Lonchura striata: one gene and its partner. The protein of the gene in region 2 interacts with the protein of the main gene of each other region in a biochemical or structural test. Links are inferred from orthologs where the notes say so. Each region holds a gene or a part of one and is shown on either strand. Other genes may lie near its edges. The genes, in order: CD58 and CD2.

Evidence for each region.
Region 1: the proteins of CD2 (region 2) and CD58 form a complex in vitro, tested with the Homo sapiens proteins (3 studies listed by BioGRID and IntAct, with this or other methods). The link is inferred for Lonchura striata from reciprocal best matches to the Homo sapiens genes CD2 and CD58.

Annotation. Positions count from the first base shown.
Region 1 is NC_134604.1:27,290,859-27,300,611, reverse strand, and holds the start of CD58 (lymphocyte function-associated antigen 3), read left to right. Parts: upstream 1-5,374; 5' UTR 5,375-5,425; coding exon 5,426-5,468; intron 5,469-9,753. Other genes in the region: PLA1A (phospholipase A1 member A), read right to left, coding at 546-618. UniProt on the Homo sapiens protein: Ligand of the T-lymphocyte CD2 glycoprotein.
Region 2 is NC_134604.1:14,702,297-14,711,443, forward strand, and holds the start of CD2 (T-cell surface antigen CD2), read right to left. Parts: upstream 4,494-9,147; 5' UTR 4,399-4,493; coding exon 4,338-4,398; intron 1,560-4,337; coding exon 1,263-1,559; intron 1-1,262. UniProt on the Homo sapiens protein: CD2 interacts with lymphocyte function-associated antigen CD58 (LFA-3) and CD48/BCM1 to mediate adhesion between T-cells and other cell types. CD2 is implicated in the triggering of T-cells, the cytoplasmic domain is implicated in the signaling function.

The DNA of each region.
Region 1 (9,753 bases), about 13 Mb from region 2:
TGAGCCAGTCTAAGTAGCAAAAGCAGGGTGAGTACCAGCACAGTGAGAGTCAGAAATGGCATAAGATGAGAGGGATCATCAGTAAAGGAAAGGCAGGAGGTGCACTGCAGTGAAGCTGCAGGTGATGTGGGACTGTAGATGTGATCTCTAAGGCAGTCTCATTGACAGTACAATTCAAGAAAGAAATGGAAGTGTGGCATTTGTTTATTTTTCTCTCAGCTACTGCAGATCACACTTGCTGACCTTTTGAAGCAATGTGGCAAAGATGCCACTGCCAGAGGCCAAGTGGTCCCTTTTCTGCATCCTTACTCTTCAGGTAAACCTGGATCATTCTTGGAAATCAGGTTAATGGAATTAAATCACTGAGGGTGATTGAATCGAAGCATAAGAGAAGAAAGGACAATTCTTGCACCACTTTTTCTCCCCAGAACATAAAAAGGTTATTGCCAGGACCTATTGACATACAGCTTGTTTAGGGAGAACTGAATTCAGATCCTTCTCTGTAAAACCTTCAATCCCTTGCCAGGCAGTCATGTTTTTCTTACCTGTTTGTGCTGAGCTGGGCAGCAAGAGGAGAGCAAGAACCATGAGCAGTTTTCTCTTCGGATCTTCAACCATCTTCCTGTTTGCCCAATACAAGAATAAGGATTGTACAGAGGAAAACCAGCTGTGGTTAATGATCAGCTTGACTCTGTAATGATCAATCAGTCTGTGCACTTTTGGGAAAATGACCTAATTCGGATTTTAAGCAATTACCTCTCCTCTTATTTTACCATTAGTCAAAATCTGAAGCAGAGGCTTCAATGACTTTTTGGTTAAAGGAGATGTTGACCTTCCTTTCCTCTCTACCTCCCTTTCCTCAAGGGAAACTTCTCACTTCAGAAATCAGGCAGTGAAACCAGTTCCAGCAAGTGATAGAGTTACAGTGCTTTATCCTTGCTACCTAGACCTTTCTGCCAAACTCTGACTAGGGATGCTGGTTTATCACAAGGCTTCACAGTAAGTCCATGCCAGGAAGATTCATATCAGCCTTGCATCGTATTTTCCTACTGCATTGCTGTCTTTCCTGTATTTCTGCTTTTGGTCAGATACCTGTAACAGTCTAAAAAAGGCGAAACAGTGGATTACATCTGAAAAGCCAGGGGAAAGGCAGGCTAAAATGCAACTGGTGGTCATATCACCATAACATGCCCAGACTACATTTCTTAGGGTGGGGGCACCCTTCAGTAATGCACCAGCATCATAAGCATGCAAATACTTAACAAAGGCCTTTGAATAAAAAACTTTACCACTTTAATGTATCCAGATGGAGAAGCATAAATGCACACCCAGATGTGCAACATGACACCGATGATGAGGTACCATATTCCTGGCTGAGATGGACTTTCAGGTAAGGACACACCTGTATCCTCTGTGTTGGTCCATCGTGCTGGACAAGGCAGCTTTGCCCTTGGCTGTGCTAAATGGCAGGAAGGGTAATGAGCAAAGTAAAGTTCCCTGTCCGGGTACTAATCTACAGTGGCTTAGTTGAACAACCAAATTAAGAAATTTCTTCAGTCTGATCAGGAAGATGACCAAAGATATTTCAAAAAGCATCAGACACTACTTTTCTTTAGAACTATTGGTGATAGCAGTAATTTCCTTACCCCAAGTTTGTTTCAGCTGAAGGCTTTGGTGCTGTTTTAAGCAGAAGTTCATTTTATTTCCAAATCTTCAGAGATAAATTTCTCTGGTTTTCACTGAAAGGCAGCCTTAGCTGCCTGGCCTGGAGGACTATTGAACCCCACCCCAACTGCATCCTCTCAGATATACATACTGAGATACCTTCTGACCCTGAAGTACTTGCCTCCAGGATCAAGCTGGCTTATTGTCAGAGAAGCAGGTCCTCAGTGTCTCACAAATATATGCCCGAGTTTGTCAGCCCAGTCAGTTTTCCAAGACTGAAAACTGCAATGCCAATAGCCATCTCCTGGCTTCCAGCCCATGCTTCATCTTTCCATCCCCAGCACCAGATTCATCTTGTTTTATCTTACAATTCTTAGATTGTAAGATAAAGCCTGTGCACTCCAACAGGCCCATTCCTTCTTTGCCAAGTCCTATGGAAATTTTGAAATGCCATGTAATATAAAGAGGCACCATTATTACAGCCTTATAGTTAAACAAAACTTTAGCCAAGATTTGCAGATTTGGTTTTATTTTGTGCATTTGCAGAGTTGTTAAACAACATCCTGGTGTTTAACAATATTGCAAATGCACAAAACTGGTGTTTTTTAAAAAATAAATGTCTTTTAAGTTGTCTACTAAATCTGAATTCTCAGTTTAATGAATTCCTGGATTTTTCTTATTATAGCAGCACACCATGGCAATTCCTTATGCAAACAGCAAAAGCCACTCAAGTTACTCTGTGCTTAAAATGCTTTTACTAAGTAAAGCTATTTTGATATAAAGGGTTTTCTTCTTATTGCTTGTGAACTTAATTGCAGAGTAATTACAGTTATATTAATTCAGAAACTTAATGCCACTTATTTTGCTTCCCAAAGGGAGTGATTATAATGACAATGGGAGCACTGTTGCAAAGACTTCCAAACCACTTTCTTTTAACAGTCCCTTACAGAGAAGTCATGAAGCACAGTGTGATTTTCTTGAGAATGTCAGGGATAGTGAAAGCAAAAAACCTTGATTTAGTGCACAAATTCTTTTAATTAAAAAGAAAATTTTAAAAATGTGCTGACTGCACATTCAAGCCAATGCTGAAAAGTGTCCAACTCAGCTGAAAGTGTCGAGTCTCCTCTCACAAAGCAACAGCTGGCAGAGGCATATAAGCACTGCAAATAGCCAATGGTCAAGTGGAAATCTGATCACAGGAAAATTCACTTGGCCTGAAAAACTAATTTTTGATACTAGAAAAAATGCATTTGGGGTAGCAGCACCAGACCTTGGGGGAAACCATGTGTGAGCTAAGCAAATGATGACTATTTAAAACCTCTCCCTGTGGAGAGGTTTGCATTCAAAGAAGGGCATGAAATACACCCAGAGCTTATCTCACTGTTCATTAAGTTCTGGATCCTCCTTACTGCTGAAATACTTGGTCTCAGAGCTCCTGTATTTTCTATCATTTGCCTGTGAAGTAGAAACCATGGTTCTGTGTTAAGCATGCAGACGCCTGTGTATTGTTTCCAAGACTGACAGAGGAACCAGGATTAGTTCTCATCTCAACAAAAAAGCAATTTGACCTTCCTGCTTTCAGAGGTGTGTCTTAGCAATGACAGAGCAGGAAGTAAACGTCAAAGATTTTCTTGGCAACTGAGGAAGGGAAAACAGGGGCAAGTCTGCTTGGGTACTCTGTCAGGAAAGGAGGAAAAACAGCCATCTGAGCCTTTTTTGAGTACTTCCTGGATCTTCCACCTGGTATGCCTGTATAAGTATGCATAAGGAAGATATATCCTTACCATGTACTACCAAGTAGAAGAGCCTAGTTGAGGGCACCAGTCTCCAGTTCAAGTTTCTCTCTGTTTCTCTGCTCTATAAAGCCATAAATCATCTTGTACAATGTGGAGCAGCTCAGTAGGAAGAACGCAGGCCTGCCTTAAGTGCATGTGGATGACGACCTGTGTTCCTTCCATCCTAAAATAACCTGTTTCAAAGTGAAACTGTCTGCTTCCGATTTCTCTCTCCCAACCTCAAAGATTTTGTGCCCTACAGGAAAGCTGCAGTGTGCAACAAGATTCAATCCAAAGCCTCTGGCATCTTGAGAGGACACTTTACCTGACAAGAGGACGAGAACATGTGCTCCTGCCATGAGAGTGCTGCAGGAAGATGGCCATGTTATATTTCTGGTGTAAACACTGTGACTTGGAGGCTTTACAGGGTAGGGATCTCCCTTTGACACTTGTCGGAGATTAAGAACACAGGGGACAAAGGTTACCGAGGGACAGAAAGGCTCCAAGCTGTCACTGAGCAGAAGGAATTTATGGGATGTGCCTGTCTCTGTTTGTGAGTTACATGTCATGGCATTACAACAGAGCTATGGAGATAGAATCAGTATTATTCTGTTTTAGTAAGAACTGAATGAGACAGCATTACTCGGCTCAAGATGCAGTGTCATTCCAGCTCATGGTGCAGCCTTCAGTGATGAGTCAAAGGAGCTTAGAGTAGCTTCTAGAAGGAGGGGAAAAGAATCCCTCAGTATTTACTCTGCTAGGACCTCTGTTTAGAGATATCCATGGCTGCCAATTATTTTTCTGATTGTGTTGTGTGAAGTGCAAAGCTGAAGTCTCTCAAAGGATGGTAAATAGCCCGACATGGCTGCTCGTCAGTGAGTGTGGGAGCCAAGTGTACTGGGAGAAATCTGACTGAGAGATAAACCTGTGGTGAGAACCTCCCTCACAGCACTGTGCTGGTGTTCTCCAGGACAGACAGACAAGCTGCTGGGAGCTGAGCATGCTTTGGGGCTCTAAGGTCTGCAGCTGGACTCTTCTCAGCTGGGGCAATGCACTGGGGAGTGGGATGCAGGCAAAGAAGGTTTGAAACATCCACTCAGAGCAACTCACTGCCATGAGAGGAACGCTCACTCACAGCTGCCACTGGAATATTTGTCAGAGTAGCAATTTTTCAATAGCTGCTATATACTTACATTTTCCCGACTGTTGTGGTTTTCCCTTTCTTCCTCAAAAACACTCAGCAGTGTCAAGAGATCGGTCATTCATGAAAGAGAATCTAAGTGTGTTTGAGTTTTGTGAATGGGCTGCTCAGCAGCTGGTGTCAAAGAAAACCTCTTGAAGTCAGAGTTGGTTTCTGTTCTATTTCTTTTCCTTCACTCCCCTTCCCCAGAGATCAACCTCACCTTGGGTGGAACAGGAGAGCATAGCCAGTCTTAGCCTTGAGCCCACTCCTCAAAAGGAGATATTTCCAGGTGTCCCTCGAAGAGAACAGTGGACATTTTTGTGAGCACAAATGTCAAACACCAGGAGGCTCCAGGGAGTAAAAGGGGCTGGGGCTGTCCCTGCCCATGGCAGAGGGGTTGCAGCTGACCCAAACTATTCCGTGATCATTTTCGGAGGTGGTGAGCTGCGTGCCACCTGCTGAAATTCATTCTTCACCTAATCTGCGTGGCTCCCACTCCCCATAAACCGATTCACTTTCAGGTTTTTAGTTAGCTGAACCTCCCCGAGGTAAGAGCAACGCGACAACTTCCGTCGCCAGAAGTCGCGCCCACAAACCACAAACGCCCTTCGCTGGCACTCCAAGGCCATGTATGGCATCCGACGCGGCACAGGAGCCGCAGCCCCCGCTCCTCACCGCCCGCAGCTCCCAGCCGCAGCGCTCAGGGCGGCCGCCCAGCGGAAGCTGCCGCCGGCTGTGGGCGGGACGGGGCGCGGCCGGCCGCCGGCGCTCGCTCTGCCTCAGCAGCGGTGTGCGGGCATCCATGTGGCGGCTGGCTTCGCTCCTGTGCCTTTCGCCCCTCCTGGGTAAGCTGGGAGAGCGCGGTGGGGACCCTTCCCGGCTCCTTCGCTTTTCTTCCTCCCTCCCTCGCTCCCTCCCTCGCTCCCTCCGTGCCGCCCGGGACAGCGGGAGCGGGGCACCCCCGGGCGTTCGGACGCGCTTGCTCCGGGGCAGGGGTTCGGGAGGGCCGGGAGCTGCCCCAGCCGCCGGCAGCCCCTGAGGAGCCCTGCGACAGCGGCTGCCTGGCGGGACGGGCGTCCCCGCCGCTCGCTGCCTGCCCAGGGGCGGCGGGCACAACCGAGCCGCTGCTTCCGTCCCCCGCCTAAAACCAGAGCTGTGTGTCAGCCTGTGCACCGGCCGGCTGCCCCGGAGCTGTGTGTCAGCCTGTGCACCGGCCGGCTGCACCTTCAGGAGCTCCCCTCCCTAGTGGCGGCAGGCTTCTGCGCCCCGTTAGTTTCAAACTTGTGTTAACGGGAAGCTTGGAGTGTGGGCGATTTTTGGGGTATAAGTCAATTATTACTATTAACTTAAATGATAGCTATTAACAAGTAATGATTACTGTTGAAATTGTAGTCAAAGGCCTTCTAAATGCCACCACTGTGCCATAGGAGCATAATCCTTGCACTGGGCTGTGAACATGAGAAAAAAGCATGATTTAATGTATGAAGACCTTATCATGTATAATGGATTTCTTCTGACTTTCGGTTTTTTGGTTTGTTTTTTTTTTTTTTTTTCTGCTTTGGGAGTTTCCTGAATGTGCCTAAAATAGGAGCTATTGTATCCCCCTGTTTAAAAAGGAACTTCTCTGCTGCTCAGAGCAACTCCCTGCAATTTCCTCCTCATACCATTCCTGAGGTCTTCAGTTTGCTTTATTTAATTGATATGGAGAGATCCTGTTCTGTAAGAGAGTACTGTGGTCCCTGTGTGCAGGGAGGACCGGTGGAGAAGCCGGGACACCGTGCACCTGCACGAGTCTGCCCATGATAAGCCTTAGCTGCAATTTCTTACCTCACCTTTTGCTGAGAGTTCTAAATGAGTGTGACTAGGGCATGATTAACTGAGTATCTTCCTGTAACTTCTTTTGTGAGTGGGAGCACTTTGTTACCTTGCATTATGTAAGCTGGCATGCTGCTGCTACTCTGCACATCTCAGTCCACATGCTATAGATTGGCCTAGAGAAAAAAGATTCCAGATTCCAAAGAACTTACAGTTGAAAGGAAGAGGTGATGGTGCTTGGACAGCTGGAGAGGGTAATTGTGGCTACAAGTATTATAACATCCTCCTCTAAGGAAAAACGTAGCTAGTTCTGTTGTCTTCTCTGTAAAACTTTGATTCTAAAGTGGTTGATTAGGGCAGGAGATCGGGAATGCAAACACTTTACTGTTCACTAAACTGTATAGCTGCGGTTTCACACCATGTTCTTGTTTATATGCTTGCATTATTGCTGTTACATGTATGTTGACTATGTGTAAATGTTTCATGTTAATTTTAACAAAATAATCCATCATCTCTCTTTGTGAAAATCAAGACCCTGAAAGTCAGACTGATCTGCCCAAGTGCATGAAGTAAATCAGTAGCAGTTCAATTTGGCATGTCAGTTTCTAGCCATGCAAACACCTGTTCTGTACACCAGGATGCTGTTGATAGATCCTTGTCCTTTTGTCAGCCTTCCCCTCCAGGATCTTTTCTCCATCCAGATTCAAAGCACTGCAGTTATCCCAGTCACACTTCTGAATGTCTGGAGTAGGGGAGAAGATGTCCCTCTTCATTCCCTTGTGGAAGCCAGGATTTGCAGTGTAGCTTTGGTGTCCAGAGTTCCTCCTTGCCACGTCAGGATTCCTGCTTTTCACAGTGTCAGGCCAAATCAGTTTTTTATCTGATGAAACCTTAGACTTGTCAATTACAGCACAAAACCTCACCTCAAGGCTATCGAAGGACTTTCATTTTAGACCTACCAAGAGCATGCTTGTTCAGTTGTTAGAAGTTCAAGACAAAGCTCTGTTCAGATTTAGGATCCTGGATATTGTATGTGGCTGGAAGGAAAGTCAGTGTGGTATCTGTGGCCTAGTTTGGTGAAGGAACAAAGAGAGAGATCTTTTTGTCCTCCCTGTGGAGGAGGTGAATAAATAATACCACACCAACAGGGGGATCACAGTGCAAGCCACACTGGTGAGGATGTTCTATTGCAATGCAGATGGTGACCAAACTTGCTTTAGCTGCATCAAGATCCTGCCCCAAAAGCAGAGGGGATATAGGAAGTAAGCTGGATATGTGAACTAGAGCATCTAGCAGCATCCTGCATCTGTAGTAAGGCTCATCTGAAAGCCACACACCTCTTTCAGTGTTCTGTGCATCAACTCTTTTTTTATGCAGTATTAGTTCTTGCCTTCTAGTTCTTGCATATTTAGATATGTTCCCTAATGCCATTTTCATTGTATGTTTGCATTAATGGTTGCTTTCTCAATTTAACTTCTTTATAAAAATTGAGCTAAACTGAGAAAACCTGGTTCACTAAAAGCAGAAGTTGCCATCTCCAGTACTGAGCATAGACTGACAATCTGAGAGTTGATAAAAATTATTTTTCTTTCAGACTTCTTCTGAAAGTGACCAGCATAGAAACCAAATTCCCTCAATGTGGATTTTTGTGTCTATGTCATTAGGCAGTTCAACAAGTTTGGGCTTGCTGGTTTTTTTCTTACTATTTTTAAATTTCCTGTCTTTTTTTTTTTTTCCTCTGTACACACAAATATATGCTCCTTTCTGCATTTTTATAGATCAGAAAAACACTGGGGTTGCTCAATGTTTCTTCTGTGTCTCTCCATTCCATGAGAGGTGCCATAGGAACTACACTACAAGGCATTGCGATGAATGTGGGAAAATCTGGACTCCTTACAAATTCAGGTTGTTTGTGGAATGTCGTTATTTTGTGTGTTGCTACTAGAAATGTCAAACACAATATTAAATAGTATAAATGGAAAAATCAGTTATCAGCACTGTGAAGCTGTCACGTGCTTATGTTGTCCTGTCCCCTTACTCTTGAATCTTCCTGAATAAACAGAGGAATTATAATCAGTTATAAATTCCTCACACAGAGGGAAAAAAAAAGTCAAACTAAACCTTTGCCCTCTGCTTAAAAACTCTTGATGAGAGCTGAGGTTGTTATGTCATATTAAAACAAAAATGAAACAATATTTTTGCCATTGCTATTTAACACTACAGAATGAACAGAGTGAATTTTTTGTCAGATAGTTTCTTGCCTTGATGTAATTAATGGTCTTATACTTTAGAAAGCCAAGATTATCTCTGGATTACATCCACAGACTCCTTTGATCCTGGGTGTGTTAAAGGTTTTCATTAAAAATGGGTGTAAGTTTGTTTATTTTTGTTTTTTTCCTTACTGTTTCTCCTATCTGTTCTCAGCCTCAGGAGAGCTTTTTGGCCATGTTCAGGGTAGTGTGACAGTGGGCTGGCTGGCTGATACAGGGTTTGTAAGAGACAGAGGTTGTAATTTGGAGTCTGTTTAAGCCGGTGTTGCCACAGGTTGAGAACAGTTCCTGTCCATGGCATCAGTTTCTACTTTATAAGTAGAACTGCAAAGATGATCTGTCTGAAAATGAACACGACTGAAGGAAAGAGTTAGCAAGACAGATTATTTTCTTAGTGCTGTTGATCACAGAGCCTACATGAAGATGTACTTGTACAGCATAGGAAGTGACCAGAGGATTTGGAATAAGTGACCAGAGTATTTGGAATCATAGAATGATTTGAGTTGGACGAGACCATAATGATCATCCAGTTCTAACCCTCTGCCATGGGTAGGGACATCTTCCACTAGACCAGATTGCTCAGAATGCCATCCAGACTGGCCTCGAACACTGCCAGGGATGGGGCATCCATTCTCTGGGCAACATGGTCCAGTGTCTCTGGACTACTTTCAAACAACTGCTTTTTTTTTTATAGTTCAAGGCAGGCTTAAATGCAAGTCAGTTCTGTCCCTAAGAAAAGCCTAGAGACTGTAATAATCAGTAATCTGCAGCACTCAATGATCCTTCATAATATTTTACCAGTGCTAAAAGTGGTGATTCCCAGTCCTCTCCCTCCCTGGCCTGTTCCAGTGCCCAACCACCCTCTGGGTGAAGAACCTTTTTCTAATATCCAACCTAAGCCTCTCCTGACCAGCTTCAGGCCGTTATTTTGGGTCCTGTCACTGGTCATCACAGAGGATACATCAGTGCCTGCCCCTCCTCCATGCTCTCACTCTTGTTCTTCCGTGTTTTGCTCACATCTGCTCCATTCCATGCACGAGCACTG
Region 2 (9,147 bases):
CAGATAGAGTGGCTTCAGACATGAGCAAGAAGCATCAGGCTCTGATGACTTCCTGAATCTGTTTACAGTAATAGCTCCCAAAGCAGTGAGACACCCTCACTGCTCAGCAGCTGTTAGACACGGGGCCTCCCATTGCACAGAAACCCTGCTAAAACCATTCCAGCTGTCATTGCTGCCTCAATAAGGCATCATTTCTGTAATCCCAGCTGGTGCCACAAACTCAAGATGTTGGCAAAGGTGTGCATGGTGACTGAAGAAGGACAGAACAAAGCTATCTATCCCTTTATTGTGGGAAAAAAACCAAGCTGTCCTACAGCTTAGAGGCCTGGAGATGCCATAGCAGTTATTAAGGAGCAGAATAGCCAGCTCCATCATCCCTACTCACCCCAAAACCTTTGGGCTGCTACTGCTCTGATCTTTTAGGGCAAGATACAGCACAGGAATGGAGACTGCCCTCATACTTTGAGCCCAAGCAGCTGAAATCCCCAGGTGTGTGCTTAACTGTGCTTCAAAGAGCACAGTCTTCATATTTGTTGTGTTGTGCTATGCAAGGAGAGGGTGCAGGAGTCTTCTTCCACTGCAAATTCAGCTCCTATTGTGGTTTATCTCAGGGGAGGTGACTGCTGGATATTTTGTATGTTAGAGCAAAAATGGAGTGGGTTTCCATTGCCTGAATGAAGGCATTTAGTGCCATCTGGACTCCTGAGCTCTCCTCAAGGGGCTGGCAACACAAGTTGCTCAGCTTGCTGGACCAGCAGCCAGAGAACAAAAGTCATAACTCAGTACCCATAAAATGACACCAGAAATACCTGAAACCCACAGTGCATCAGCCACAACTGTACCCCATAGGCTGCTGTGGTCCTAACAGAGGTTTCTGGAAGCAGGATGCTGCTGGGGGCCCAGTCCCCTCTCAGGGTCCCACCCCAGCTTAGGGTCTTAGCACTGTTTGTGGTGCTGCAGTAGGACTGACCACCCCCACCCTGCTGTCAGTGTGAACCTGTTCCCAGCTGCTTTCTTGGGCACAGCTGGAAACCTGTTGGCTGACAAACAGGGGAGCCATAAAGAAGCCAGGGATTTGAGGCCATCAATCAGAGCAAGAGAAGGGAGAAGAGAGGCAGGCTGCTGTCAGAGGCAGGAAGAAAAAGGTATGTCCTACAGAAGTCACCCCTTCCTCATCAGAAAGGAGGGCTGTGGGAGAGAGCAGACAATAGCAAGTCCTGTTCAGCAGTCATGGGCATGGTATTGGAAAAGCAAAAACTCACCCTGAACAAAGAATATGACATTTTCTTCCGCCTTCAGTTTTCCATCCTTCTGATAAACCATCACCGTGTAGTTTCCACTGTCCGCTTTCTCCACGCGCTGGATTTGCAGAGTCCCATTCCGGAGTATGGCACACCTGCACTGCTCCTTGTTCACAAAGTGCTTAGTTTTGTTATCTTTGATCTGAACCAGCCTTTGTCCCCCTCTAGTCCATGTTGCCTCATAGATGTTCCCAGGAGCAGTGATGCTGAGAAGAGCTGTCTCATTCACTGCCTTGTAAATCCAGCTGGTGCTGATGCCTGTCGAGGGAAGCACAGCCAGCCCCTCAGTTGTCTCCAGCAGCCACCCAAAAGGCTGTCATTTGCTATGCCACCCTTTCCTGAGCTGCCTAAGCCCCTCTGCTTCACTGATGCCATCTTCTTCCCCTACTCCAAAATATTTCTTGATTGTTCTTTAGATAAATGCCAGCATCCAATTTAATTCTGAGAGGCAAGAAAGCTAAGAGCCCAGCTTTCAAAAGCTGAATTTATACCTTGGCTGACTTACTTGGAGTGACTCTGGATGCCAAGATTCATGGCCTCCCATTCAGTTTAACATGAACTTAGCCCTTCCTGAAAAGAAGGTCCCTTCTGTGTTTTGCACATGGCACAGGCTGGCACCCAGAGAGCCCATCACTGCAAGCATTACTGCAGACAGCAAAAATAGTCACAGCCCTGAACAGCAGAATCATTTCAGCCACCCCAGTGACAGCAATGATGATAATAGTGGTAGCCCATTTCAAGCTGTGAGTGTAAGGCGTTGAACTGGAGGCACACCCACAGCAATGCCCCCCCTGCCTCCTATCCCAGTTACTCTGCCCCACTGGAATGTATCCACTTGATTTTTCTAGCATGGGATCCTGATGGGGCAGGTAAGGCAGGAAGACACAGCCACCAGCATCCTGTCAACTGAAGGGCTGCAGGAGTCATTACAAGAAAAGCTACTGCCAAAACAAACCTCAAAAATCTTCTCTTCCTTTGATTCCAGGTCCCTTCTCCAGAACAGAGAAGAATAGGAGCTTCCCAAAGGGAGTGTCAGGACTGAGAAGCACCTGAGCATGGGGCTGCCAAAGGGGATATTCACTAAACATCCTCTGTATTTCCAGTAGTGGGAGGATGAACTCCTGGAGCAGTGCCCGGGTGCTCTGCCTGCTCCAGGCTGCTTCAGCCACCGTCTCTGCAGGCCCCATTTCTGGTGAGCCAGGACTTGGGAAACTTTGCTGGGAGGTCATTTCAAGTAAGGAACTGTCCCCAGCCCCGTGGCAGGTGGACAAACCTGCAGGAGGAGGGCGAAATCTGTGTGCAATTGTCAAGTGGGATAAGCTCACCCAGAGCCACAGCTTATTTAGTTTGTCATTTTATCGTGTTCATTCCTCCTCAATTTACAGGGTGAAGCCAATCAGCAGGAGGAGATTTCCCTTCCCATCAACAGAGCTGATTCTGCCCTAATTTTATGTATTTTAAGTACTTTTTTCCCCACAGAGAGAATAAACCTGTGTTTATGCATATTTTTATTACAGTCCTTCACTCCTTGTATCTAGGATAATGATAAATGGCACCACAGAGGGGAAACTGAAACCCAGTGGCTATTTCATTAAACTAACAATATTAAAGATAATCAGAGAACTAAAATAGCATGCCTCTGAACAAGAACATTAATGCTGTAGTGCTTCTGGCAATTCACCACCTCTAAAGAGAGGTTGTTCTTTCAGCATTGCCTTTCTTGCAAGGTATTCGATATATCTAATGAAATGTCCTGAAATAAAGCTATCAGCTAAACAGCCTTAGAAGCAGCTATGCCCCACACAGATGACACTACATGTTATACCCAGATATTTGAATTCTGATACTTGCTTCTGCTCAGTCATGAACAAGTATTTAGAGATAGTAATAGGATTTCTTTGCATAACAGACACTACTTAGATTTTCTCTCTGGAAGTAAAGAAAGAAAGTAATCTGAGTTTTCAAGGATAATTCAATGGCATCTCTGTGGACCAGAGGCATCTCTAGATATTGATCTGATCTCCACAGTCTTTCTAGTGGAAAGCTGAGTATCCCACACGTATGATACTAAAAATCTGTTTCGCTAATGAAACAACACATCTGATAAAAATGCCAACTAAAATGTGCTCCAAGGGGCAGAAAGGCTTTAACTGAGAGACTACAGCTCACTCACAGTCACAAGAAAGAGTTAAAAGAAAAAGCTCCCATAGTAATTTTAGAGAAGGAAGTCTCTGAAACAATTTTCCATTCAAGGAAATAATCCTTATTTCTGCTAGAGAAGATGTTTTATAGATTGTGTACGTAAAAAGAAGAAATCCTTATTTATCTATTAATTTTGTTCTGAAGGAAAAGCATAGCATTAAACAGTCATACATGCAAACTTAGTGGAATGAAACCGAGGGGAAAAAAATTATGCAGGCTTGTATTGTCTCCATCTCTTAAAACCTTCTCTAATCTATGAGTTAACACCTTAATTAAGTTTTTAGATTAATATTTTAAAAAATAATGAGAACAATAATATGCAAAATATAAAAAATATATGTAGTTGCTTGCTGTTTTCACATCTTAAACTCCAGCTCCACTGAGGACACTGAAATATATCACTCTTTTAATATTTATGGAAGAATATAAATTGTACTTTCAAAAGATTTGCACATCTTTGATAAGAAAAGGAAATTATATGCGATAATGCACAGTGAACTGGATCTCTAATGTAGTACAAGCTGCCTCAAGGGCAGAAAGCAAACTGTATGCTGACATTTCTCATTACACATGTGTCAAATTAAGGCTCATTAACTTAAAACCAAAACTCTTTACAGCTTATTATTATAACTGGAATAGGAAACTCAGGTCCTGCCCTCCCCCTGGCTGAAAATTAAATCAAATAATAATAGCAATAACCCAGATGTCTTCACTCATTGGAAAAGTGGAACAAGTTTCTTATCAGTAGCAGCCCACCAAGTTGTAAATGCTTTAAAATACAATTTTAACATCAGTCCAAAAGAGAAAAAAAAAAAAACTGTAAGAAAAACTCACATTTTACAGTGGGAAATAAAAGCAGCAAGCACTTGACTAGGAAAATCCTCCTAAAGTTCATTTTCAGGGTCAAAAAACATCCAGTGTTGCCTTGTCTAGTGATAGCTCCTGGCAGGTGAGAAGGTTTTCTGCTGTGAGCAAGCAGTGATGGGACATGTCGGCACAGCCTTTGTGCCCTCCTCCTCTCCTCCAGCACTTCTCATTTCTAGCAGAGGCGGAAATAAGCCCCAACAGAGTGTTTTGTCTGCATGGAGGCAACATGGAGACACAAAGAAAATGGGCACTAAAATGCAGGAAATGCCCTGGAGGTTTGTCCACCCAGCTGGAGGGAGAGATAGGGCCCTTGTCCTCCTCAATGCTCACCTGAAGAGCTCAGTTCCAGCACCCACATGCCACCATCCTAGTGGGAGGGATGCAGTTTTTGGGTGGGGGAGTGATAGGAATCCTAATTCTCCCCCACAGCCTCAGCAGCAGCAAGGGGAGAGCAAGCCCAGGAGCCCCAGAGAGGAGCAGGTGGCTGTTGGACAACACTTGAAAAGGAGACACACTTCCCTTGGAAACCATCAGGATCAGCTTGGCATCAACATCTGGTGTATGAAGGGCTGGCCAGAGGCACAAAGGCTTCCTGCAGGCAGGGCCAGCCACTCCAGCAAGCTGTGAGAGGGATGAGCATGGAAGGGGGTGAGAATGCTGCCTTGATCGAGCCACAAACCAGCTCCGAAGCTGGCTGATGTGGGAAAGACAGCAAGGAAAGAAGCTGTGAGGAGCTAGGTCCAAAATCATGTGAGAATCTAATAAAGTCCTTATTCCCGATTCCAATACAAAACAGATGGAGTGGTGAGGATTTTGAGTCTTACCCTCATCAGCATAATTCCTCTGCTTCAGCAGCCACTGAAATCTTCCAGCTTTTTGTCATGGATGTAGGCCAAGAAAGAAGACAAAAGAAAATCTGTGGCACTAGAACTGTACAATAGTAGATAAATCTTGTTCGTTCATGTCATTCCTTTTCCTTGAGGTTAAAGGAAGATCTTGTAAGACATCTCCCCTTCTCCAGCTTAATAATTTTTTACTGGTATTAATGAGGTTAAAAAAAAAAAAAAAACACTCCCTGCAGGAAAACCTAGTTTTTCTTCCTTTTTTCTGCTACTGTTTCCTTCCAAAGAACACACAAAGGAGGCATACACAAAAGGAGAGAGGAAGCAACAGCAGCAAGATCACATTTCTGTGCCCGACCTCCACCCTCTGTGGCAAGAAACAAGCTGAGAGCAAGGACTGCCACATTTGGGTATCTCCTCAGCCAAGCAAGCTGTGTTAAACTCTTGGACACATCTGCTTCCAGCCCCAGCACCCAAAAAAATTGGGGCAAAGGCATCAACCCTGATTTCTCCTCAGTTTTTTGGAGGCTTTTTTGCTGGATCCATCAAGCAGAGCAGAGGGAGGCCCAGCATGGTGAAAACACTGTCCATGCTCTGCTCAACTTTGTCTCCATTCTTTTTCAGGGAAACATCTCTCAAAGCCACCTCCTTCTTCCAGGGTACCCCTGCACATTGTCTGTTTGTTGGCATGTTCACACTGCCAGCACCCTGGGGTGGGAATTGTCATGGAAAAAATGAAATACAAATGGAAAGATGTGTGCTTGTGTGAATGTGAGAGAGAGAAGACAGGCAAAGCTTCTTAGTGGTAGAGCCAGGTGTAAAAGTGAAGACCACTGCCTCCAGTTAATCAGTTTGGCATTGCCCACATGCCACACACAATCTCCTAAACTCACAGCTGAAATGGGTCACACCAAAGGCCCCTATAGTCCAGCAAACCAGCTCACCAAACATCCTGGTTGCTGTTGGAGCAACAGGTAGGCAGGAGCAAGAACCCATTCATAAAGGATATAAACTGTCTGTTCAAAAATGACCTTACTGTGAGCAGTGAAGAAGCACTTGAGAGGAAAGCTGAGGGCTCAATGACTGATGTCCTATGGTAACTGGACACCACAGAAGTGACACCAGGCCTTGGTATTCCTGAGTACTTGGTGCACATGCACAAAATCCACTTGCAAGATTTTGAGTAACAAAAGCCACAAGCACAGCCAAACCTGCATCACTTACCTGCAGCAAGAATTCCCCATGAGATCCTGGAATGGCTTGTCCCAAAAGCAGCCCCTTTTTTAAGCAGCCTCTGAAACCTCTTGCACCATCAGACCTAGCTGGAGAAAGACAAAGCAGCCCATGTCTCTAAGCTCAGTCTTCCTGCCCGATGACAAGTGGGGAAATGTCAATATTCTGCCAGCTTTAGCCTTCCCTCTTGAAAAGCAAAGCAACATCTTGCTGCAGTCCTGACTGGGCTTTGATCCCCATTTTAGAAGAAGGATTTTTTTGGATGTTACTTGGAAGAAAGCACTCTAAGTTGTTGCACTGATGTCTCTGTTTTCCCTTCAAGGAGAGCCCCAGAGAGGGCACTGAGGAGAAAGTGCCTGAAGGTGTCTCTGGAAAGAACAGCAGCTCTGGGCTGCAGGCACAGAGGAAATCTAGAAGCCAGCATGTACCTTCAGAGATGTGGCATGGCATAAACATCCTGAGAACAGCTACAGCAGAGAGCACTGCCAGAGCAGCCCCTGCACCAGCCATAAATGCCCTCCCAGGTGGAGGGAGTGGCACAGAGAGAGCTGTGGCTGGAGCTCTGTGTGGCCACAGCCAGACACTGGCCCAAGCTGTGCTGGGCAGGACAAGGTGAGCTGTAGATAGCAGTGCTCTCACATGCTTCTCCTCGCTGCAGACACCCTCTCTATTCACACAGGAAGTAACACCACTGGATTAAACAAAGTCAGCTAGAAAACCCGGGCAGTGATAGAAAAGCAGATGTGTACCAGCACAGTGCTGCTAGGCCTGGTTCAGTTAGGCCTGTCCTTAGCATCAAGCTGAGGATGCTGGAGCCCTGTTCAGCCCATTGCATTGCTACACATCCCCATCTTCTGACACACAGGAGAGCAGAGGACCGAGCACAGCCACAACAATGGGCTGTGTCTTTGCACATCCTCACTCTCTCTCTCTCTGCAGCATTGTTTCCACTGCAGAAGCCACAGCGCGCTGCACTCATACATTTGCTTTTGTGGCTTGCTCTTTCCTTTACACTTCTGCTCTTTGTAAGACAGCATACAGTTTCCTCACGGGGAATGTAAGTATCATACTCACATTTCCTTGTGGAGGTGACAGAGTCCCCCCACATCTGAAGGCAACACCTCAAGAGATAATATGCAGCTGTTCCCAGCTCCAAGTTCTCGGCTTAGTGATGAGCCAATAAACATGTATGCCCGAGGCTTATTAAAAAAAAAAAATATAAAAAATATAATTATTTGATCTACTAGAAAATGAAGACTACAAAAAGTAGATTTGTAGCCCATCTGATAGTTTGTACCATCTTCTCTTGTATGAAACTTTGGTTATAGTAAGTGGTACTTGCATGTGAGTCAGACACCCTGCACTGAGCCTCACCGGACTTTCACACCTCTAAATCTCTCACCAGGCCTTTGATGAGGCACAATGTGTGAGGAGAAGAGTAAATGTGATTTTAATTGGAGTGTCAGATAGGTAATATGTGGAGGGGAAGCTTTGGGGAAGGGTAACTTTATTCTTGGGAGCTCTCCTGATCTTGCATTCTGGCCTGCATGACTGGGCTCCATCTGGGTTGCCCTGGATGGCAGCTAAGGGCTTCCTTTACATGCCCCTTTACTGTAGCTTTTTACAATGCAGAAGGAATTTTGGGCAGTGGCTGGAGCAAGGAAGAAGCAAAGTGAGCCCTAGCAAGGGGTATTGCCCTGCACTCTGAAATGCCAGGGAACTGCTGGCTCCCATGTAGAGTTTCAGCCACTTGGCTGATGAAGGACACATCCTGCCTCCTCTTCCCTTCTGCCTTGCACAGGGCCAAGAAAGAAAAACTCCAGCTTGAATCAAGTGATGGAAATATGAAGATCAATAACTCAAAATAGAGCTTTAGCCAAGGATTTGGCAGGGATGCTGACTCAGTGTCTCAGAGCTGAGAGCTCCTAGTTGCCTGACACGATGAAAATCTTCCAGAAATAGTGACACACACACAGAAAATACTGATACTGAAAAAGTTGTCTGCACAAATTTTTTCATCCTTCTCTCAAGAAAAGTAAATTAACATTTTCAAACTATGATCATGCAGAATTGTCCTCACCTGATTATTTGAAGAGACATGATTCCCCTGCAATGTCCATAATGCCACATAGAATATTCTGAGGTGGAAGGGATCCACAAAGATTACCAAGTTTCTGTCCCTGAATAGGACAGCCCCAAGAATCACACCCTGAGCCTAAAAGCATTGTCCAAACAATTCTTCAGCTCAGACAGACTTGGAGTTGTGACCACTTCCCTGCTGAGCCCATCCCAGAGCCCCAAAAGCCCCTAGGAGAAGGGCCTTTTCCTGATATCTAACCTAAACCCCCCACCCCAACACAGCTTCATGCTGTTAAACCTTTAGCCCCAGGTGTTCTCTCTCAGCCACATTTTCTTATTTTTCAGCTGTAAGCATGTGTCAACAGCCAAACCTCACAAAAAATACCCTTTATTTCTGGTCTGAAGGAACATAACCCCCTTAGACCAAGCAGTCTGTGGATCACAGCAATGACTGAGGCTAGGGCAGATGGCAGCATCCCATCAGTTATTCTTGCAGATGGTGCATTTCAGTCTTGCCGATGATTTCCATCATCTATAATGGCCTTAGATTTAGGACCTAACTTTCAGCATCTTGTTCTAGTAAATTCAGTGACATTACTAAAGCTGCAAAAGGTGTTGGCTTG